5 linked regions of the Sus scrofa genome follow. The protein of the gene in region 2 purifies or fractionates together with the protein of the main gene of each other region. This does not show direct contact. Links are inferred from orthologs where the notes say so. Each region holds a gene or a part of one and is shown on either strand. Other genes may lie near its edges.

Region 1 (4,302 bases), on a different chromosome or scaffold from region 2:
TATTAGCTTGACTTTTGGAAAACCCCTAAGGATGGGGGCTGGTTGCCAGGGAACCAACCAGGTGATTAGATGGTTGGAACTTTCTGCCCCAATCTTGACCTCTGGGGAGAGAAGGGAGGGCTTGAAGTTAAATCAATTACCAAGTGCCAATTATTTATTTATTTATTTATTTTTGTCTTTTTTCCTTTTCTAGGGCCGCTCCCACGGCATGTGGAGGTTCCCAGGCTAGGGGTCTAATCGGAGCTGTAGCCACCGGCCTACACCAAAGCCACAGCAACGCAGGATCCGAGCTGCATCTGCGACCTACACCACAGCTCACAGCAATGCCAGATTGTTAACCCACTGAGCAAGACCAGGGATCAAACCGGCAACCACATGGTTCTTAGTCGGATTCGTTAACCACTTAGCCATGACAGGAACTCCCAGTTATTTAATCAATCATGCCCAAGGGACAGGGTTCTGAGAGCTTCTTGGTTGGTGAACACCTGGAGAGGGCACAGAAGTTCTGTGCCCCTTCCTACAAACTCTGCCCTGTGCCTCTCTGCCATCTGGCTGTTCCTGAGATGTATCCTTTTATAATAAACTGGTAATCTAGGGAGTAAGCTGTTTTCTTGAGTTGTGTGAACTGCTCTAGCAAATTAATCAAACTAAAGGAAGGTGATCACAAGAACCTCCATGTCAGTCAGAACCACAGGGGACAATCTGGACTTGTGACTGGTATCTGAAGTTGTGTGTCTGTGTGTATGTGTGTGCGTGTCCTGTGGGACTGAAACCTCAACCTGTGTGATCCGATGTAACTAACTCCAGGTAGAAAGCGTCAGCATTGAGTTAAATTAGGACATCCCTGTGGTGTGGCAGAATTGCTTGATGGGGAAAAAACCCACACATTTGGGGGCCAGAAGTGTCAAGGTATAGTCTGAGAACAGAAGAGACACACAGGAGTGTGTTACTCCACCATTAGAATAGGGTTTGTATGTTAAATGCAGGAAATGACTGGATATGAAAATCCAGCCCTAAGGAATCTGGCCTTAATTCTGTTGAATGTGCAGTGCCCACTACACTCCTGACATACACTGCAGTCCACTCCTTAACCCTAACTCTACCCCTGCTATAACAGTATTTCTAATGTTAAAGAATCAAGCTGATGATTAGGAGCAATAGGTGAAAAAGAGAAAAAGAGTTCCTGCTGTGGCACAGTGAGTTAAGAATCCAACTGCAGCGGTTTGTGTCGCAGCAGAGGCACAAGTTCCATCCCCGAGCTGGTGCAGTAGGTTAAAGGATCTGGTGTTCTGCACCTGTGGCTCGAATTCAATCCCTGGCCCAGGAACTTCCCAATACCTCTGGTGCGGCCATTAAAAAGGGGGTGGGGGGGAAGGAAAGATATGACATCTTTGAAGGCAATAAAAATTGTTTAAATCTCCAAATAATTCTAAAATGCAGTCAGGGTTCAGAACCACTGCCACAGATGAAGGTCAGTGAAGAGCTCCAAGTTTCTCTCTACAACCCTCCTCTCCCCACTGCCCCAGGGATGGCAGTCTTCTATCTCCATGAGAAAAGTTCTTGGGTTTAAGGATATTTTACTGGTCATTGTGCAAAATTAAAGTTGGGGAACTCAGCTAAGAAAGGCCTCAATACCTCTCCCTCAACACCTACCTCAGAAACTGTTCCTATTTCTCTGACCCACTGAGGTGATATCCACAACTTGAGAGTGAACTTTGGGATGCACAAAAACGGAGCAAACATTTTGGCCTGCCTTTATTTGGGGCTATTCGGTCTAAGCTCTCTGCAGAGCTCTACCAAACCCAGAGGTTGGCACTGAGGTTCAGAGATAGCGTCTTTTTTTTCTTCTTTTTGCCATTTCTTGGGCCGCTCCCTGGCATATGGAGGTTCCCAGGCTAGGGGTCGAATAAGAGCTGAAGCCGCCAGCCTACACCAGAGCCACAATAACGCAGGATCCGAGCCACGTCTGCGACTTACACCACAGCTCACGGCAACGCCAGTTCCTTAACCCACTGAGTGAGGCTGGGGATCAAACCCGCACCTCATGGTTCCTAGTCGGATTCGTTTCCGCTGTGCCAAGATGGGAACTCTGGAGACAGCGTCTTAATGAGCAATAAAATATCTGTTTGCCTTGCTCTATTCCCTATACATACTCTCATGCAGACCATATAAGATATGATGACTGAGAAAAGAATTGGGGTATTCTCAGACATGATAGCCAATACTGTCGTAAGAGTAGTTCAAGCTCACCATGATTACCTTGAGACATAATATGCAAACTACACAACAACTCATTTCGTCTTTTTTCATAATCACCAAGAGAAAAAGCAAGGTGGATTAGAGATTACAGATACGAGTCAGACAAAAAACATGACCTGGTTCTCACCTCTAGCTGCCGAATCGCTGTTTCCCTCTCTTTAATGAGTTCCAGATCCTGTTCGGTGATGGCCACCTCATCCTCCTGGCTCTGCATCTGGTTCCACTCCTCATGGCTGCAGGGCGACAAGCACATTAGCTGATTCCTCCTCTCTAAGGTGCCAGCAAAGCCCCCCCAAAGACAGTACCAGGGTTCCAACTCCTCTGGCATCAGTACAAGGCCCTGAAGGCCACATTCTTCATCACCAGAAGCAAAGAGCTGGTAACACCAAGAAAATAAAGTCTTAGCTTTCATGGGTAAAACTAAGAGGAAGTAGAATTGTGACAGATGAGACCTGTTGCTGTTTCCATTCAGGGGTACACTCTGCAATCTTGCTGGGGCTTGCTAGACAAGCAGTGGGCAGAGATTTGAAGTCAACAAAGTAAACTAGCCTATTCTCTCCCAGGTCACTCTCAAAGTGCAAGCTGTGTTGGTCTCTCAGGTCCTACATGAGATCCTTAGAGGAGAGCAGGCTAAGCGACCTGTTGGTGCTTCACCAACTAGTCCAACAGAATCACATCTCCTGGTTTTCAGGAATCTCCTTGAGGTTACGCTTTAGGTTAAATGACTGTAAAATCAAAGTAAATCTAAGTAAAAAGCTAGTGAAATACAACTCTTCTTTTCAGGTACCATATTTAGAAGAAAGGCATATGACACATTATACTAGACCCAGAACACTTTGCAAATCCAGTGTTAAGTATTTTTCCAACAGTACGCATAAATCACACATTATCTCAACAATATTTAAAGAATTTCCTCCATGTGCTGGAGATAAAAAAACTGACTTAGAGGCTTTTGAGGTACTCATAGTATAGTGGGGGGAAGATAATATCTCTGATAAAACATTTTACATTTTGAACTAATACCATCAGTACATTTCTGTGCAATTAGTTAATTCAGTGTGGAGAAGTTAAGAAAGGAGATAGCTTTCAGATACAAACTGTTTTTCCTTTCCCAGCCACACTCAAGGCATATGGAAGTTCCCAGGCCAAGGACTGAATCCAAGCTGCAGCTGTGACTTACACAACAACTGTGGCAAGGCTAGATCCTTATCCAGCTGTGCCAGAGCAGGAACTCCTGCTTTTTCTTTTAATACTCTTTGAAGAATGTGTTGCCTCCATTTCAGAGAAAAGTAAACAGAGACCCAAGAACTTTGAAGAACTTAATTCTGAACTAGAGGTAAAATTATTTAGACCTCCTAATCTGTAGATTTGTGGGTTCATATCTACTCCTAGTGAGCTAAACACTTTTCCCAACACAGAGATATCAGAGATTTCTTAGAAGTTTTTTATTCACTTGAAATTATTCCTTCCATAACTTAAAGATCTTAGAAAAGCCCACAATTTTGATGTTTTTATTTGGGGGATTATAAATTACCCACCATAGGGCTCCCTTTATTCTTCCTTCTTTTTTCTCATTGTTTTTTTTTGTTTGTTTGTTTTTTCGCTTTTTAGGGCCAAATTCACGGCATATGGAGGTTCCCAGGCTGGGGTCCAATTGAAGCTATAGCCGCTGGCCTACACCACAGCTCACGGCAACACCAGATCCTTAATCCAATGAGCGAGGCCAGGGATCAAACCCGCAACCTCATGGTTCCTAGTCGGATTCGTTAACCACTGCACCACGATGGGAACTCTGGTCTTTTTATCTTTTTAGGGCCACACCCACAGCATATGGAGGTTCCCAGGCTAGGGAGCTGTAGCTGCCAGCCTCCACCACAGCCATAGCAACGCCATATCCGAGCCGCGTCTGCGACCTACACCACAGCTAATGGCAACGCCAGATCCTTAACCCACTGAGCAAGGCCAGAGATCAAACCTGCAACCTCATGGTTTCTAATGGGATTCGTTTCCACTGCGCCACAACAGGAACTCCTTCCCGATGAT
Region 2 (4,302 bases):
AGAAACAATGAGTCAGAAAATCAGAATAGTATCAGTCTTCTAGTCAGCAACACTGAAAATTAAAAGACAATAGAATAAGCCCTTGAACATTCTGAGAGGACAATTATTTCTTACCTATTCTCTATCCCAAGCCAAACTATCCAGTATAAAGGGAATATACAGTATTAAGGGTGGGATAAAGGCATGTCCAGACATGTAAGGTCTTAATTTCACCTGCCATACACCCTTCCTCAGGAAGCTTTTGAAGTATATGTACCCCAGAAAAGAGGGGATAAGCGGGGGGGAAAAAAAAAAAAAGGAAGGCTAAGATAAAGGGTATGTAAGAGAGGAGAGGAAAGTTCTAGAGTAACAGCTGTGCACCAGGCCTGGAGAACAGAGGCCTCCAAGAGGAGGCTGTCTTCAAGAAAAAACACCCAAAACTTTAAAATCCCCTAACATGTTAGAACGTATTAAAAGGATATTATGGCTGCATTTATTTGGGGATAAAATTGTGATAGGCACCTAGTAAACTAAGCAAAGGGGGAAATGGCAATTCTTAACTCTAATAAAAACAAAGTGTTGCCCAAGAAAGGGAATTTAATAGTACACTACATGGCTTGGCCATAAGTCATATTTATATTATCATCGTAAATACTACATATAAATTTAGCCAGGGAGTTCCCATCGTGGCTCAGTGGAAACAAATCCCACTAGGAACCATGAGGTTGGGGGTTCGATCCCTGGCCTCGTTCAGTGGGTTAAGGATTGGACATTGCCGTGAGCTGTGGTGTAGGTCACAGACACGGTTCGGAACCCACGTTGCCGTGGCTGTAGCTCTGATTAGACCCGTAGCCTGGGAATCTCCATAGGCCGCAGGTGTAGCCCTAGAAAGCAGAAAATTAATTAATTAATTTAACCAAAGACTGAAATAACTATATTGGATGGACATGAAAAGGGACATATTGGAGATAGGGGATAAGTGCAAAATTAATATCAAATCTCCATCTTCCATAACAGGAATTCAGGAAATAACATTTAAACTGAAAAGAAAAATCTACATAGAATACTATAACCTTGTTATTTAAAGATCAGGAAGTAAATACAAGAAGAAAAACTAAGAGGTGAAAATGGTTCCCTCTCAGAGAGGGAAGCAGGAATGGTGGCCTAAGCCAGGTGTAGTTTTTAAACATTTCTTGACTATTTGGGGGTTAAAAATTAAAATGCAATTTTAAAATATTAAGTGAGACAATTTTGTAAAGCACTTAGCACTGTGCCTCTCACAGTTAACTGTTGCATAAATATATTATTATTACCCTAATCCTTCTAAAAAGCATAAAGCCTTGCTAAGTGGGTGGTGTGGACTTTCCATTCATTCATTTTTTTTTTCCAGCCATACATATACCGTATTCGCTGTGAAACATGAATTACAAACATATGCTAAGGTATCTTTCTATCTGGTTTGTGTGTCTTCCTGGTTTACTCATCCATTATTTTATTGATATGAATGAGGAGTAAGAGCAGTTGCCTCTTTCTGGACCAAGTTCTGAAGAAAGCGATGCTCTTTCTGAGTCACGTTGTTGATACTTTTAGATTTCCCAGAGCAAAATTCTGAATTTTTTCCTTCTCTTTTGTGTAATCATTCACATTTCTGCAATTAAATAAATGACTCTTGTTCAGGTTTACTCTAGTTTCCTAACCAGTCTTCTCCTGTGTGTTTTAACACATTTTCTCCCCATGATCAGGGCCGCAAGCTTCTTATCATCGGGACCACTAGCCGCAAAGATGTCCTTCAGGAGATGGAGATGCTTAACGCTTTCAGCACCACCATCCACGTGCCCAACATCGCCACGGGAGAGCAGCTGCTAGAGGCTTTGGAGGTGAGGATGAGTCAGTGGATTGCACACTGTTTAAAGAAAGGAGTTGAGGCTGGAATCAGTGCTAAGGTGTTGGGCACCTTCAAACTGAGCACCTGGTGTTCAGTTTCTGTGTTAACCTGGAACATGGAACTGAGGGTGTACCTCCAGAATCATTTTCAGGAATTAGAAGAAATAAATGTAAGTGAGAGGGAAGTAATTTCTCATTCCTCAGTTTCAGCAGCATACAAACTGCCAGGAATGAATAGTCTCATGCCCAGCCTGAGTAATGTATAGATGACATGAACCAGAAACGTGAAATAGAGGAAGGGGAGTCAAGTAATCAATATATGAAAAATTCAGTTATTCAGACTAGCTTTCAGCCCATTTACTTGTGTTTAATACATTGGAATAACAATTAAAACCTTAGAAACTTCTTAAAAAGACCTTTATTAACAAGTTCATGACATGGAAGTGATTGCTCACATTTTTTGAGAATGAGTCTTTAAATTTTTTTTTTAAAGTCCTTTATTAAACTTTCCATTAATATCAGTGTGTACAAATGACTTGATCAGATCTGTTAGCAAACATCCAGTGACTATTCAGCTGTGGTAGATTCAGGAACTTCTTAAAATCCTCAAGACCTATACCGTTGGGGCAAACACCCAACGAAGCAAATTATCGAGTGTTCCCTTCGTGGCACAGTGGAAACGAATCTGACTAGTATCCAGAGGACACGGGTTCGATCCGTGGTCTCACTCAGTGGCTTAAGGATCTGGTGTTGCCATGAGCTATGGTGTAGGTCACAGATGCTGCTTGGATCATGTGTTGCTGTGGTGTAGGCCAGCAGCTGCAGCTGCGATTCAACCTGTAGCCTGGGAACTTTCATATGCCATGAGTGTGGCCCTGAAAAGCAAAGAGAGAGAGAGAGAGAAAGAAAGGAAGAGAACCCATATGATATATGTCTTTGGGTTACCTATTTGTGCAGTTTTTGTGCTGGAGTTGAGTAAGAGAAATTAAATTTATTCTGCTTTGACACATACAGATTATTCCTAGAAAGGAATGTTAAGAATTTTAACTGATATTTATTAAGGATTGGAGCTCTTTTTCCCCCAGCAAATATGTCTCTAAATTATAATGACCGTCCATAGGAAAACAGGGCTTAGGATACCAATTTTCATTTTCAGAATTGTACCTACTGGACTCAGAAAAGTCAGGTTGGATTTTAAAGTTCTGAGAGAATTCTATCAGCTTGAACCAGTCAGGTAGTTCTTAGCACTCCTCTTTCAAGGGTAAGTATGAGAATTAACTACTGCCGTTGAGGCACTCATAGAGGTGCTTTCGTTTTTTGTTTTTTTATTGTTCACATAGCTGTTGGGCAACTTCAAGGATAAGGAACGTACCACAATTGCACAGCAAGTCAAAGGGAAGAAGGTCTGGATCGGGATCAAGAAGTTACTAATGTTGATCGAGATGTCCCTGCAGGTAAGATGCTGCCTTCGCCATGTGGCTCAGACATAGAAGCTTCAGGATATATGCAGAGAGGTTTTATCATTTCCTCTCACGAAGGTTTTAATTAAGTTATAATTCCCTTATGTTATTTCCAAACTCAAGTCAGTGTTAGGAGCCCACTTCTGAGATCAAACAGTAACCTGTTGGTACTTTGCTTTCCCACTTCTTAAAATGCAAAAATAAAAGATAGGAGTTCCCGTCGTGGTGCAGTGGTTAACGAATCCGACTAGGAACCATGAGGTTGCGGGTTCAATCCCTGCCCTTGCTCAGTGGGTTAAGGATCCGGCGTTGCCGTGAGCTGTGGTGTAGGTTGCAGACGTGGCTCGGATCCCGAGTTGCTGTGGCTCTGGCCTAGGCCGACAGCTACAGCTCCAATTGGACCCCTAGCCTGGGAACCTCCATATGCCGCGGGAGCGGCCCAAGAAATAGCAAAAATAAAATAAATAAAAGATAAAGTTACTCTAAGTTTTAGTGTAGGTAGCATTAGATCCTAGAACTAGGAAAGACTTGAAAGAACAATTGTTCTGCTGCCTCTCATTTTAGAAGGGAGGTTATTGAGTGTCCCACAGATTGTCAGTGAGTTATCCAAGGTCACTGCCAGTTGTCGAAGGAGAGGGGATGGCGTTGTCCATCAGAGGTCAGGAAGCTACTGCACAGACACCAGAAGGGCCCTGGAGATGGCCTCAAGGGCCAGGGGAAGTGAGTTGTATGGATTAGACTTGGGCTCTGTATATTTTCCCCTGGCTGGGTTCCTCATAATTTCAGGCAAACTGCTGCGGGGTTGAATTGTCCAGGATCACATAGAAAACTAAGCCCCAGGCTACTGCCTGGGCAAAAACAGATGAAGCTTCTTTGGGACTTTCTCACATCCTCTGGCAACTTAGCTTTCTTCTTTTTGCAACTTTACCCCTCCCTGTGCCCACCTTGTCTTTTGTTCTTACCTGACAGACTTGCTAGA
Region 3 (4,970 bases), on a different chromosome or scaffold from region 2:
ATAAGGTATGCTTTGAAGACGCTTGTTTTAGCTTTACCTTAGATTTCATGGTGGTGTGACTGTGCCTAAGACCAGGTTCCATGAATATGTGTTTTCTTTTTTTACTGGAAACTATAAATGAAATAAATTAGAATTTTTGACTGAAAAAGCAGTGTCTGAAGTAAAATACTGGATGGGCTTAATCTGAAAATGGAGACGACAGAAGACTCAGGGAACTTAAAGATGGATCAATAAGTCATCTCAAAAATGACCATAAAAAGATGGAAGAGCTGTCTTGCCAATACGATCTTACCAGTCCTGTGTTCTCATTAATCCTTTGTTAAGTGAATAGTACCGTTGCGTCTGTTCTGTGAAGTTTCCACTCATTCATCTTGTCCTTCTGTCCCTCTAAGGATTTTGGGGTAGAATTGCTGCGTTATGGGCCCCCTCTTACTTGTTCCCTTTTTGAGATTAAACCTGTGTAGGTGCCTGGAAGAAACTTCCTTTATAACATGTGATGGTTTTTCTCGGTGGCCATGTCTCTGAATGTGGTTCTTGGATTGGGTACCGGCACCACCTGGGAGCCAGTATGAGAGGCTCCCTCAGCCACTGACCCTGCCATCTCTTCAAGGAGACCCTGGGTGGAGTGTGCACACTGGAGCTCGAGGTGTGCTATTCTGGGATGTTCTGCCGGGGTCTTGTTGAGGTGACAGGGGGATTACAAATCTCTCTAGGCACAGACTGAGATTGAACGTTAAACTCCAGCCGTCAGGAAATTGTCTTTTCTGCATGGATATAAACATGGCCCATAATCGCCTCTTTTGTTTCAGAAAACAATTGCCCAAGTCTTAGTTCATCTCCACAGAAACGACTATGTGGCCGCCGAGCGCTGCGTCCGGGAGAGTTACAGGTGAGCCACCACCAGCTCACAGCTGTTCCTGACACTCAGCTTGGGCCAACAGTCCTGGGTTTTGTTTTGTTTTTAAATAGATTTCAGAGGATGGGAGTGCCTGGCAACCATTCCAGCTTATCAGTGGGATTTTTGTTGTTGTTGTTTTTGCTTTTTAAGGCCACCCCCGTGGTGTATGGAGGTTCCCAGGCTAGGGGCCAAATTGGAGCTGTAGCCGCTGGCCTACACCACAGCCACAGCAGTGTGGGATCTGAGCTGTGTCTTCAACCTACACCATAGCTTGTGGCAATGTCAGATCCTTAACCCACTGATGGAGGCCAGGGATCAAGCCTGTGTCATCACAGATGCTAGTCAGATTCATTTCTACTGCGCTACAATGGCAACTCCAGCAGTGGGATTTTTATGAGTTGTGTTCTTTCATATGTTTTTCTCCTGGGGGCTGCCACGAAAGTGAATGACTTGATTGAATTCGTGATATTCACCAAGAAAAAAAGGATAAGAGGGCAGTGCTCACACTGTGTTGTGAGGAGCTTGGGCTAAGGGCTTTCCTTGGAGGCGAAGTTTTAAGTGAGCAGGGCATCTGAGTCTGGGCACCCTGAGTCCAGGCGCCCCGAGTCTTTGCTGTTGGCCATCCGGGGTGTTGTAGGATGTCCAGCCTGCCAGGCCTCCTCACTTGTACGATCGGCAGTGTCCTTAGATGTTGTCACCTGGGTGGGGGCCGCTCTGTGGGGAACAGACACAGACGTGCCCTGGTCTTCCCCCAGCATCCCCGGCTTCAACGGCAGTGAAGACTGTGCGGCTCTGGAGCAGCTTCTGGAGGGCTACGACCAGCAGGACCAGGACCAGGTGTCCGAGGTCTGCAACTCGCCCCTGTTCAAGTACATGGACAATGATGTAAGTCCTTCCCTCTCCGGGGACCGGGCTTCCTAACACGGAACAGACCGTATTTCACAGGGACTCCAGCATCTCTTAGCTCAGTTGTCCCACATTCCTGTGTCTGGGTGTCGTGTCCCTGTCCCATCCCGGCCATGAGCCAGCTGAATGGCGCTGGGATTTGTGGTGGTTGATGCATCACAGTGGTGGCTAGGCTCTCGGAGGGCCAGGCTCTGTCGCACAGGTGTCGCCTGTTCGCATCTGGTCGTCCGGGTCGTCCAGTCTTAGACGAGCTTTGTCCTTGACAGTATGCGAAGCTGGGCCTGAGCCTGGTGGTCCCTGGAGGTGGAGTCAAGAAGAAGGTGGCAGCCCCTCCACAAGCTCAGCCAGAGGGCGCCCCTGCCCCCGCCGCCCCTGCTGAGGAGGAGGAGGATGAGTATGCAGGGGGCCTGTGCTAGGCTCAGTGTCCCCCACCTCAGGTACCTGAGCTGACGTTGGGGGTGCCCAGATCCCGAGGCCCTGGTCCTGATGTTGGTGCAGATGAGCCTCATTCCCGCGTCTGGACCACCCATCGTGCCCGCTGCCCGTGAACCATTTTTTTCTCTTCATGATAAAGCTCTTGTCAGACACCCGCAGGAGTGAGCAGAGAAGTCACTGTCACATTTTCATGCAGTTGATTTTATAATCGCAAACCAAATTCAGACACATTTGTTCTAAACAAAGCATTACTAGGCGGAGGGCCTCCTCTCTCTTGGGCTCTTGTGATTTCCTGTTAGAGAAGTTGTTTTGCGTTTTATTTAATAATTGCTGCTAAAAGTGACGTTTACTGGTTAAACAAAATAGTGTTTTAAATGTTCGTTTTCAAAAGGAAATTTCTCCCCCGTGATATTAGGTATATTTAAATTATTAGACCTTCAGAAGTGATATTGGGGCAGGAAGCTGTTTGAGCCCTGCCTGCTGTTTGTCCCAGGATGAGGTGCGTGCGGAGTCGCCTGGAAGTCTGTGAGAGAGCACAGTACGGCGAGTCTGTGGTGTCTTCTCTCTTCCACCCGCACGTGCACCGTGACTGTCTCCGAACCCCCTGGCTTCCTGACTGCACGGGAACTAACACGGGCTTGCTCACGCGTCCCGGCAGTGCAGCGCTTCCTCTCAGCCTGGCATCCATGTTTCTTCCCCCTGAGTGGCCTCTGGGTCGTGGGGGAGGTGCTGTCTATATCCCAGCCCGCGTCCCTCCTTCGCAGGCCTCCGCCCTGTGCTCAGACCCCCTCTCTTGCACAGGAAGGGCCCACGCTCCCGCCCCCACCTGTCTGTGCCAGCACAGGGAGCTCGGTGTGCTGGCCTCCGGGGATGCTGAGGCGGTCATCACGGGAGGTCCCGTCCCCCTGGGCTCCGTGGGAGAGCTGGCCAGTGTGCTCAGGCGGGTGGACTGAAGGGTGGAGATTGTCATCGAAGGTCGGGTGCAAACACTAATCAGTGTCCTGCCCCCTCCAGTCCTTGAGTGGTTCTGCGGGCAGCCGCCACCTGCAGACTGGAGGCAAACTGAACCATCTCAGGAAAGCAGATTTAGGCGTTTGTGTTTGGCATTGTGTTAATGTTTCAGAGACACCCCCCCCCCAATCCCGATCCACCAGAAACCTCAGGAGTCTTGTGCTGAGGTGCATTTGAGCTAATGAACAATCCATTTAAAGAGGTTTGGCAACACTGAAAAGATATTTTAGACCATCTTTTATAGACCACATTCTCCATTACAGCCTAGGGAAAGTTTTATTTTTACTCTTTCTTACATGTTAGTCAAAAATGAGCAGTGATCCAGTGCGACCTCCACCCCCCTCCCCTGTCCCAGGCCAGGTTACGAAGTTGCGGGGCTCGTGGCTGTTCCCCGAGGTCGGGGCTGTTCGTGAAGAGAGAGCCTCTCATTTTTCCACTATGTAGGCCTTTGTCCCGAGTACGGTGGGAAGTGAAGACGTGTTTACACCGAGTCTGACAGTCAGTGTTCCGCGGTGTTGTCAGTGCACTCAGTCCACAAGGCACACTTTGTATGTCGAATTCATCTGTACATATGCAGAGGATGCTATTTGTGTATAAAAACTGCTTTATCCCTGGTCTTTTTTCCAGCTCTTTGGTGAATAGAATATTAAATGTGTTATGGAAATGCAGATTATTGCTCCTTTAGGAAGATAATTATGAAAATAAAATCTGAAACTATATAAGTACGATTATTCTTTTCATTATTATCATTCATTTTGCTTTGCTCATGTCCTTTGTTTCAAAAACACATTCTCCACTCTTTACATGCTTCCAACTGCGTTAGATAAGAACAGTCTGTTCATCCAGGTTGTGCATCCTGCCCTGGGAGTCAGGTAAGCTCCTTTGGGGGGTACTTTAAACTCCGGACCTTTGGAAGGTGCCCATCAATCCTCCAGTTACTGTGGTACTTGCTCTCTGTACTTACGGGGGCGACACTTCAGTACACCCTCCAAGAGAACATGTCCTTCACTGAGTTAAGGGAGGTAACAGTACAGCAGGAGGTAAGAAAACGGAAGTGGCAGTGTTTGCATTTATACACGGTTCGCACCTTAGTTGCAGGGGATTTACTCGGTCAGAGGGCACGCTGTGTAATGCTCTGTCTTCCGGAGAATGGGGATCGGTAATAGAGTTCGATACCAGGAGTGGTAGAAATTGGAGTGCTAGGTGTAGGGAGTGCCGTTGGACGGCGCGGTTTTGGTTCCCTTGGGACACCTTGGAGCTGTGAGTGGGCTCTGGTCCCCTGATGTGTGTGTGTGTGAAGCTGGGAAGGAAAACCACCATGTCCCTCTGCCCGCCCCCCCAGGTTTCATCTTGGTGGTGTCAGTAAAAGGCTTGGTCCCGGCTTTAACTTTATGCAGAATTTAAGGATATTGAAAATATCTTAAAAGAGGCCGAAGCAAATACCTGTTTTGAGAAAGGAGAGCACATGTCTTCCATTTGAGTGTTCCTTTGAAATGGCCCAGGGGCCCCTGCTCATATAGAAAAGAACCTAATAACATTCAAGGGGCCTGAATAAAATTCATCTAAATAATTAGCCCCACTTATGACCTAGGTTGGTTAAATCCCCTTTGAATTTAAGGGTTAAAATGTTTTAAAGTAACGTTTATAAATTTCTCATTTCTGATTCTTCCAAAGCTTTCAAGAGGCCTAATTATGGCATTTTTATCTTTTTTTTTTTTTT
Region 4 (5,008 bases), on a different chromosome or scaffold from region 2:
GTTGAAGGTGGGAAAGCCTGTTTATTATATATTCCATGAAAACAAAAAATGAAGTAAAACTTTCACATAGCACAGGAACTCTCATTTCTGTTTAATTATAGCACACCTAGTTCATTGGTGATTCCTTCAAAATATTACTGATAACACTGAATAAAGCAGTAAATATTCCAGTTAATTTCTTATTGAATATGCCAATTAGCTGTAAAAATGATAGTGATTTTTCTGCTGTTTCCATGAGTTTTAACTTTAATATTTTAAATTCCACATGTATGAAACAGTAAAAAGCTTTCAGCTATAAGATGAATAAGGTGTGAGCATCTAATATATAACATGGTGACTATAGTTGATAACTGTTTTGTTTGCTTTTTAGGGCCGCACCTGCAGCATATGGAAGTTCCCAGGCTAGAGGTCAAATCAGAGCTGCAGCTCTTTGGCCACACAACACCGGATCCCAGCCATGTCTGTGACCTACACCACAGTTCACAGCAATGCCAGAACCTTAACTTACTGTGCAAGGCTAGGGATTGAACTCATTTAATCATGGCTATTAGTTGGCTTCATAACCAGCTGAGCCACAATGGGAACTCCTAGATATAACTATATTGTATACATGAAATTTGCTAAGAGGAGAAATCAGTATTTTTCACACACAAAGAAAAATATGTGAGTTGATAGATGTGATAGTTAACTAGATGGAGGGACATTATTTCATAATGTATGTGTATATATATCAAATTGTCACTGTACATTTCAAGGATCTTTCCACTTTTGTCAATTACACTCTCAATAAAGCTGAAAAAAATATGGAAGGAAAAAAAAATAGATTCAGTTCTAGGGTGTTCCCTGATGACATTAAGGTTATCAGTCTTAAGTTTCATAAAAACTTATTTGTGGAGTAGTGTTTTATTATAGATTTTGCTGTTTATGTAATTGTTAAACATAGTCTCAAAAATTTGAAAATTTAAGTTTTCAAACCAGTTTTTAAGGTACAGGGTCTGTAATTTCAGAATTTGGTGCAGCTTCAGAACAAACAATAGCTAATGCACAGAGTTGTGTGTCCATTTTTGACATCCAATAAAAAATCTATGGATTAGAAGTCATCAATATCGGATATATTTTGTTATCACATGGCTTTAAGCGTACATTAAGAAGACACCTGCACGTGAGGTTGAGAAATCTGCCAAATGAGAGCAATACACCAAAGCTGACCGTTTCCCTGGAAAGGGGAGCAAAAGGGAAACAAGCTGCGCTGGTAAAAAGAAAAGGGAGCTGGCATTTAAGTGCCGATTTTGTTCCAGGAGCTTCATTTACTTTAGTCCTGTGACCCTTAAGCCCCAGGAGTATTATCACACTTAAGAGATATGCAAACGACCAAACTAACAGTCAATATGTTCTTGGCACTACAACACGTTTCTACCCTAAGAGCTCAATTTAAGGCAGCTACTCTTTAAGAACCTGCGGCTTGATAGGATAAAAATTCCCACTGTTCCGCCTCCGAAAAGTAAACTGCCTAGGTGTCCAAAAATGATTCCCTCATTCTTTGTTCGGCAAGTTTTGTTGCTGAGGGTACGGAAGGGTCACCGTAGGGGAGGCGGGGCTCGGCCTTCTATGATCCCGCCCCTCCGGGCTTTGCTTCCGGGGCGGTCGGGGCGGCCACGTCATCCACAGGCTCCGCTTGCCAGCCGGGCAGTGAATGGTGGGAGTCAAGATGGCGGCGGCCGCGGCAGCAAGTATTCGCGAGAGACAAACAGGTACCGACTTATTCTCTTCTCTTCCCTGAGGTTTCATGCTTGCAGTGAGGACAAGCTTCCTATGCTTGTCGCCCTCACTCGGTCGCGGTGCGTGCAGCTCAGAGGTGGACCTTCAAAAGTTTAATCCTGTTCTCCGAGCATCGAGAGCCCCTCCCCTCTTGAGTTTTTAGGGAAGAGATTCCATTAGCTTGAAAACTCGGCCCTCGGAAGTGGTGCCAGAGAAGTGGCTTCTCGGGTGAGCAGGTTGCTACGGTCCTGTCCTGCACTTGTCGCTTTCCTACTGGACCTCAGAAGGCCTTTACGACAAGATTTAGCAGCTGGCATTTCCCCTCCCTGTGTTGCTGCCTATGAGGTCTTTCGGATTTGTTTCTGTGCATGGTTCAGTTTTCTCCCATTTCAATATTTAGAGTTGCATCTTCCGGCACTTCCACCACAATAACAAAATTTAAGTGTTCTTTTCAGAGCAGATTACATTCTGCCATTTCTCTCCTTTGGACCAATCTTTGGGGGTACCAGATGAGAAATGCTCAGTGTTAAAAGATTTCTGTCTTCAGCATGCTGGAATGAGGTATAAGAATGGCAAAATAAATGAATTAACCTTTCCCATTTTAATTATTTGGCAAATTAGTGTTCTTAAACTATGCGTTATTAGTTTCATGTTTAATAGAACGTAATTATATAGCTCCTGTGTATATTGTGAAATACGGTTTTAAAAAATACACATTCCTTCTCTTTGAGCTTTGGTATTTTTTCCATCTTAGATAATTTTAGTTTTGCCATATTTTTTGGAAACTTGTGATGACAACTTGGTTTATACCTGTTAGCTACAAACTAATGGATTATACCTGTTAGCTAATTGTCTCGAAAATTGGCAAACTGTTAATTCTGAGGAGCTAGTAGAAATAAGCCATCAAGAATATGCATATTTGGAAATTCTGTCTCTTGTAATTATGTTCTTTTGCATATAAATCTGTGTAGGAAAACAACTGATTACAATTAATATGGTCTATAGAAAGGATTTTGGCTATGCTTGATTCCTTCCTTTGGAATTCAAAGAAAAAATTAATGGTAGACCTTAATGTAGTAATGATACACAGTGCATAATGAGTTATGTTCTGCTTTCCACCAATGGATAATTTAGTGTAAACTATCAGATGAAGTCAGGCATAACTTAAATACATGAAAGTCCAAATAAAATTTGAGGAATACCTGCCATTCATTTTATTTGTATAAACAAATAGAAACCCCACTTGTCTTTGCAGTATGGTTCCAACATCTTACTGAACCTCAGTGAATTAGGTCATACTGCATATTAAAATAAAAAACATGTTAAGAAAGACTTTATGCCAATATAAAGGAGCTTTTTGAAAAATTAAATTTGTTAGTAATTTTTATATGCAGAAACTTTGTAGAATATTAAAATCTAATAGCACATAATTTGGATTTCTGCAGTAATAAATTTAATTGTAGCAATATTTCACATCATTACTACATAGGTTATTCCAGATTTATCAAATTAGTACTACAGTTGAGTTCTGTCTTATTTTGGGAGAAAGGCAGACATCTTTATATGTGCTGTAGTGGCAGAAGTAAACATTTGCCTGATGCCCATTGAGAATGTTTTGGAAAATAGATCACAGTTGATTCTTAAATATTCTAGATATAAGACTCTGGTACAAAGGAGTTTGCAGTCTATTTGGGTAGATAATAGCTGATATTTATTGAACATTTAGTATTGTCAGAGACTGTTTTAAGTGATTTTTACATGTATTTTTATCTCCATTTTCCAGGTAATTAAGTTATAGAAAGTTTAACTAGCCAGTTTTTTGCTTTGCCTGCCTGAAGAGTCTTTATTCATCTTTTAAAGTCACTTCAAAAATCATGTCTTTTGTTACAGTTTCCTGAAACACTCTAGTCTTATCCTTTAGTTCAACAGGCAGAATCCTATGTTACCGTTGTCATTCATGCATGCCTCTCTGTTGCAGGTTCTTGCTCAACTCTCCCATTTCTTAGAGGAGAACCCCAAATCAACTGCTTTCTCTCTTACAGTGATCTCATGTAGCTTCTTGGCTTTCAGTACTTTCTATATGCTATGATCCCCACGTTTATATTTCTAGCCTGGACCTCTCCTCAGACTCAGTCTACCCCATATCAAGTAATGACAACTCCATTCTTGTGGTTGTTCAGGTCAAAAACCTTGACACTTTCTTGACTTCTGTCATTTATATCTCACATCAGATCTGTCAGTAAATCTTGCCAGCTTTGCTCTGAAAATTCGCCTAGAATCTGACCTTTATCACACAGGTCCAAGCCACCATGAGTTTCTGCAGTAATCTCCTATTTGGTCTCCTTGCTTTTAAAACTCTGTTTCCCTTCATTTTTCTTCACATAGTATCCCAAGTGATCATGTTACATATTTGCTCAAAACTCTCTAGCACTTTAAGTCATTTATTAGTTTCCCTGTTTCAATCATGGTAAAAGCCAAAGCAATCTGACAGTGGTCTACAAGGCTCTGTATGATCTGCTCTCCACTTAACTTTCTGATTCAATCCCTTTTACTCTCCCCTTTCCTTGAACACACCAGAGTGCTCCACTTCAGAGCCTTTTTGTGTTCTTTCTGGAATACTCTTTCAGAGATATCTGCATGGCTCACTCCGTCACCTCCTGTAGGTCATTATTCAAATGTTACCTTCTCAGGAGGCCTCTCCTGACTACTTAAGTTAAAATTCACAACTCCCTCTTCCTCCTTCCTCCCCTGTTTTCCTTCATAGCACTTATCATGATCTCACGTATCATATGTTTTACTATTTTGTTGTCTTTCTCCCCCAGCTAGAATGACAGTTACTTGAAGATAGGTCACTTTTATTCAGTCCATTTTGTTTAGTACCAACAGCTAGAGCTATGTCTGGCAGGTGGCAAACACTCACTAAACATTTGCTGAGTGATAGTACGTGTAGTTGAATATATAGTGAGCAAAGAAAAAACATTCCAGGTGAGGGTGAAAGTACATTAGCCAAGTCTAGGTGTGTATGGTATATTTAATCATTTCAGTTAAAAGCAATAATTTAAGCCTTTAGAGAGTTACTCTAATGTAAAATAATGTAAAATTACATTCTTAAAGATTCTTTTTTTCTCTTTTTAAGGCTGCACCTGTGGCATATGGCAGTTCCCAGGCCAGGAGCTGAATTGGAGCTGCAGCTGTGACCTACTCCACAGCCAGGGCAACACTGGATCCAAGCCACATCTATGACCTATGC
Region 5 (5,065 bases), on a different chromosome or scaffold from region 2:
TTAATTTAACTTTAAAAACTGATATACACTTCAGCTACCAAAAATTCTGAAAGTATACGTGGAACAATCTGGGTACATCAATCCGCACTTTGAACTGTGTGTTTAATGAACTCCAAATAAAGATCAAGTGTTTCTGATGAAAATTTAGTGTCCAAATTGAGATGTGCTCTAAGTACAAAATACTCGCCGGATTTTTAAGACGTAGTACAAAAAGGGAAAAATCTTTCATTAACAGTCTTTATATTCATCACATGTTGAAATATTTTGAGTATACTGGTTAAAGATGACATTAAAATTAATTTCACTTGTCTTTTACTTTTTACTGCATCTACTAGGCAATGTAACACGGCATGTGTGGCTCACACCGGCATACTGGAGAGCACCCAGCCAGCAGAACTAAGATAGATGAAAGAGGAAAGGGATTGGGAGCAAGAGGACCAAATGGATACTCTTCTTGCCAATAGTCCAGAAGAGACACAGGCTGAATTATCTAAGAGCTACCCATCTTCAAAACCTAAGACATACTACTACCTCCAAAGCTTTTCCAACCACAGCCATTCCTAATGAGATGCCTTTCTCCGGACTACTGGGGCACCTAATCTTCTGTAGCATTCACTTCAGCATTTGATCACTTACCACCTGTCATTTCTACTTAATTTGGGGGTAAGTTGTTTTTCAGATTAGACTACCAGCTCCTAGGCTACAGCATTTGATCACTTACCACCTGTCATTTCTACTTAATTTGGGGGTAAGTTTTTTTCAGATTAGACTACCAGCTCCTAGGCTAAGGGCCACAATTCAAGCATCTTTAATTTTTCCACATCGTGGGGTGCATTTTCAAAACTTTCAATAAGCAGAGATACATGGCTCCATACATTCCCTCACACATTGTGGAGGCACTCATGTAGCTAATTTTACTTTTCCACAGCAGAAGGGTTTTTTTTCTTTTTCTTTTAAGGGCTGCACCTGTGGCATATGGCAGTTCCCTCCAGGCCAGGGGTCTGAATTGTAGCTACAGGTGCCGGCCTATACCACAGCCACAACAAAGCCAGATCCAAGCCTCATCTGTGACCTACACCACAGCTCATAGCAATGCCAGATCCTTAACCCACTGAGTGAGGCCAGGGATGGAACCCATGTCCTCATGGATACTAGCTGGATCCATTTGCACTGCGCCACAACGGGAACTCCCACAAAGCAGAAGGTTTTGACATCTTAAGAACATGAGCTAAAATGATGTCAAAGTCAAGCAAGACTCAAGGCCAATGTTCCAATAAAGCAGTGATATCTAATCAGTGAGCAAGCACTGGTGAACTGCACTGGCTACCATCAAGAAAAAAAAAGTCAAGATGGCAAAACAATTTTGCATTTTCACAAATCCCATTAAAAATTTTAAAATTCTGATTATCTACAGTCTCCACAGCCAGAGATAACCTTTGCAACCCTAAGCATTAAGAACGTTCACTCAAGGAAAAAACAGTTTTCACATTTAAAAATTATCCCCTAAAAATCAATCCTAATAAACCACACATTTTCCAGGTAGAGAGCCACATATTACCAATAATCTAAACTCAGCGTTTTTCCATTTATATTAAAGTCAGGTTAAAAAAAAACTTTTAAAGGCAATGTTAGAAATACATAAATATATTTAACTGTATCATGGGTAATAAAGTATTTAACTTAAAGTACCATTTAAATTTTGTAAAATGAACCGTAAAAAAAAAAAAATAACACTCAAGCAACTGGTCAACTTTTACCCCTACAGAAATAGGAAGCTAGTAGCAACTAGTTGAAAGCAGAGGCACTTTAAGGTCATTGGCACTGATTTTTCCAGAACGTTGCAGTTCTCAGATTGTTTTGTTTGACATTTAAAACAAAAGCTGACAAGTTATAACAACAGAATCAATCTTTTCTGCATTTGTTTAATGGCTACAAAGCCTATATAACAGAGTGCAGTTAAAGCTTCTATCTCCAAACAAACAATTGAGCAATCAAAGATGGAGTCACGACACTTCTTAGGGAAAAATAAGTTAGGACAGCTCTAGTCTCAAAGGCAGAAAAAAGAAGAAATGGGGGAAACCTGTCAAATAGCCTGGATGAAATCAGGGAGTTAAAAAGAAAGCACTCATTTCCTTTAGCACTGTGGGAAAATCCCTGTGCTAACAGAAAGCTAAGGAAAGTTTGGTTTGGCTGATTTCATTTTGTTTTCCTTCCAACATCACCACTGAGTTTGAACAGCAGCTTTCCTCCCCTCCCATTACTCGGTAAAAACTCCCCCACTGAATAGAGTTGTCTTCCGGAGCCTCGCGCCCCCGCCTCCCAGCCTGCAAACGTGCTCAGACGCCTCTGGGCTTGTTGTGGTCTCGCCAGTCAGCGGGCCAGCGCTCCGAACTCAATGGACAATGGGAGCTCACCCCCGTCCACGCCAACTACAAAGCTCAGGAGGCCCATTTCCCTTTTCCTGCCCAGATGCTGTTTTTCCCCCTTCAAAGCAGGGCCCGGTGCTCCACTACAGCCCCACTTTGGTCTGGGACGCCTGTCTCCCTCCCCACCTGAGGAGCTGCTGAACCCCTCGACACCCCTCCATAAGTTGTAGAACGGCGCACAAGCCAAAGGAGACCCCCCCCCTCCCCAGGGGCTTGACTGGGGGCACGGTTTCAAAGTCCAGGTAGCACGAAGAGGGGATGTCTCTGGACGCTTTATCATAGCCCTCAAGGCTAAGCGGTCCCCACGCCAGACTCTACTTGTCTCCCCTCCCCCTAGAGCGAGAAAAGCGGGGAGGTGAGGGCAGGCAGCACTGCCGCCGCCTCCTCCAGTGGAGCCCCCTACGACACTCACCCTTTCACCACAAAGAAGGGGTCCTCCATGGACATGGCGTCCCGGCCCCCGGCCGCCTCACGCCTGCTCTGCGCACAGGGCGCCCGCGCCCTCCCAATCTCCCTCTGCCCACCCCACCCGCCTCGCGCAGCAGCCCGCGTCTCGGCCTGCGGGACCTGTAGCGGCTGCGCGCGCAGGCAGGGGTGCACCGGCCCGCCGCGGGTCCAGTACTCTGTCTGCACCTCAGACCGAAGCCGTGACTCTGGCGCCGGCCCCGGCGCGGCCCCCTCCTCGGCTCCTCCCGGCGCGTCCGGCCGCTTGGCCCCGCCCCCAGGTCCCTCAGCCTCGACCAATCACGAACGCCGTCAGCCGCACCACTTCCGCACTCGCGCTCACGTGACCAGAGCCCCCCCCACCCCCCATCAGCAGGGCCTGGGCCTTGCGTTACTCGACCCTGGAGGCGGGGCTCTGGCGGCGGCGGAGAGGGCGGGTCTTCTCAACACTCACCTCTCAAGATTCAGGGGGAGGAGCTGCTTGTTCCCTGGCAAGAAAGGTAGTCAGGTTTCCTAGATACGGAGATAGTATCAGCTTTGCACAATCTTTTCACCTTTCCTCTCCTTTTGATACTTATTTTGATAACATATAGATTTAGAAATCCATCTCGTCCTCGACTTAGAATAAAGCTCGTCTACCTTATCTGACTCTGATAATGTTGCACAACTCCTTTCTGTGGGTCTTATAGTGCCCAGCAAGACGCTGAAGGCTGTGAGTTATCTCAGTATCCTTGGAGGGGAAGGTATTATTATTCCCATTTTGCAGATTAGAAAAATTCATATAGGTTTCAAGATTTCTTGTGCTCACACAACCTGGACAGGGCAGAGCCCCAGATTCTGTGCACTTTCCACCAGGCTAGGATGTGTTTTTGTGTGTGTTGCGTTTTTTGTCTTTTCTGTGTTCTTGAAGTGATCAGTAAGATAATTTTTTCATACAGCATATGGTGCTTCCTGGAAGAGAGCATTTTTGAAGGACAAAGAAGGGGCCAGGTCTGGCAACTTCTTACCAGCTAAGTGGTTCAAGAGCTCTTCCAGGAAGCCTTTTGGTCAGAACAGTTTATCAAACTCATACGCTAGATAGTCTATGGGTTTTGCGAACTTTAATTGCTGATTATCATTGAGCACATACTGTGTGGCAGGCACTGAGCTTAGTTTATCTCAGGTGCTCTCACAATGTTGTAATCCCCATTATACAGATAAGAAATCTGAGACTTGGAATTTAAGTGACTGGCTTAAAGTTAGCAGTCTTTTTGAAGATAGAAGAGTCCTCAGAGCCAGACAAACCCTGTTTGAACCTGGGTTCTGTTATTCAGTCTCTCATCTATAAAATATGAATATTTAGCTCATAGATTGTTGTGAAGTTTAAATAAAAATGGCTAGATGGAGTTCCTGTTGTGACTCAGTGGGGTTAAGAACCCAACTAGTATCCATGAGGATGTGGGTTCCATCCCTAGCCACGCTCAGTGGATTAAGGATCCAGAGTTGCCTTGAAGTGCAGCATAAGCCAGCAGCTGCAGCTCCTATTCGACCACTAGCCTGGAAATTACACGTGCTGCAGGTGCAGCTCTAAAAGGGGAAAAAAAAAAAAAAAAAAGCCTGGAAACCCCAAGTCTCCCACAGAGTGAGGAAGTGAAGTTAGGGAAACCAGTCTGGAAGCTGCTGTGGTCATCTCACCTGAAGGGATGAGGACTAGACCAGGACAGCAGGGATTGTAAATGGAGAGGAAGGAGAGAATCTGATAGATGTTTCCAAGGAAAAACAAAACAAAACAACTAGACTTGATGAGAGATTGAATGGGATCAGGGAGGAAAGAGGTAAAAGTCAAAGACTCCAGGCTTCTCCAAGACCCTGGAGGAGCGATGGAGGTCAGATGTGGGGGGGAACCCTCCTGGAAGAGAACTGTTTCAGTTCTGAACATATTGAGGTGAGGAATTGAAAAGGGATCATCTTTCATTCATTCAACAAACACATGGAAATTGAGATGAGAATGGTGATTAAGATCCAGAGTTGCAACCAGATTACTTGGGTTTGAATCCCAGTTCTGCTACTTCCTGATTATTGCACCTTGGGCAAACTGCTTAGTCTCTGTCCTCAACTATGAAATGGACACCACAAAACACCTCCCTCATAAAGTGGCGTGAGGACTGAATGAATTAATGTCTGAAAAACGCTCAGAACAGTGCCTGGCATGTGTT

The links.
Region 1: the proteins of NSF (region 2) and STX12 purify together in Homo sapiens (co-immunoprecipitation; 4 studies listed by BioGRID and IntAct, with this or other methods). This does not show direct contact. The link is inferred for Sus scrofa from reciprocal best matches to the Homo sapiens genes NSF and STX12.
Region 3: the proteins of NSF (region 2) and NAPG purify together in Homo sapiens (affinity purification with mass spectrometry; 3 studies listed by BioGRID and IntAct, with this or other methods). This does not show direct contact. The link is inferred for Sus scrofa from reciprocal best matches to the Homo sapiens genes NSF and NAPG.
Region 4: the proteins of NSF (region 2) and SCFD1 purify together in Homo sapiens (affinity purification with mass spectrometry; 3 studies listed by BioGRID and IntAct, with this or other methods). This does not show direct contact. The link is inferred for Sus scrofa from reciprocal best matches to the Homo sapiens genes NSF and SCFD1.
Region 5: the proteins of NSF (region 2) and STX6 purify together in Homo sapiens (affinity purification with mass spectrometry; 3 studies listed by BioGRID and IntAct, with this or other methods). This does not show direct contact. The link is inferred for Sus scrofa from reciprocal best matches to the Homo sapiens genes NSF and STX6.

The regions. Positions count from the first base shown.
Region 1 is NC_010448.4:84,949,224-84,953,525, reverse strand, and holds part of STX12 (syntaxin-12), read right to left. Parts: intron 2,493-4,302; coding exon 2,387-2,492; intron 1-2,386. UniProt on the Homo sapiens protein: SNARE promoting fusion of transport vesicles with target membranes. Together with SNARE STX6, promotes movement of vesicles from endosomes to the cell membrane, and may therefore function in the endocytic recycling pathway.
Region 2 is NC_010454.4:17,615,665-17,619,966, forward strand, and holds part of NSF (vesicle-fusing ATPase), read left to right. Parts: intron 1-1,721; coding exon 1,722-1,856; intron 1,857-3,203; coding exon 3,204-3,317; intron 3,318-4,302.
Region 3 is NC_010448.4:97,960,312-97,965,281, reverse strand, and holds the end of NAPG (gamma-soluble NSF attachment protein), read left to right. Parts: coding exon 1-5; intron 6-809; coding exon 810-889; intron 890-1,653; coding exon 1,654-1,783; intron 1,784-2,070; coding exon 2,071-2,220; 3' UTR 2,221-2,733; coding exon of another isoform or gene 2,734-3,192; 3' UTR 3,193-3,975; downstream 3,976-4,970. Other genes in the region: uncharacterized protein LOC110261162, read left to right, coding at 2,734-3,192. UniProt on the Homo sapiens protein: Required for vesicular transport between the endoplasmic reticulum and the Golgi apparatus.
Region 4 is NC_010449.5:68,847,661-68,852,668, reverse strand, and holds the start of SCFD1 (sec1 family domain-containing protein 1), read left to right. Parts: upstream 1-1,613; 5' UTR 1,614-1,693; coding exon 1,694-1,751; intron 1,752-5,008. UniProt on the Homo sapiens protein: Plays a role in SNARE-pin assembly and Golgi-to-ER retrograde transport via its interaction with COG4. Involved in vesicular transport between the endoplasmic reticulum and the Golgi.
Region 5 is NC_010451.4:122,577,494-122,582,558, forward strand, and holds the start of STX6 (syntaxin-6), read right to left. Parts: upstream 3,081-5,065; 5' UTR 2,874-3,080; coding exon 2,839-2,873; intron 1-2,838. UniProt on the Homo sapiens protein: SNARE promoting movement of transport vesicles to target membranes. Targets endosomes to the trans-Golgi network, and may therefore function in retrograde trafficking.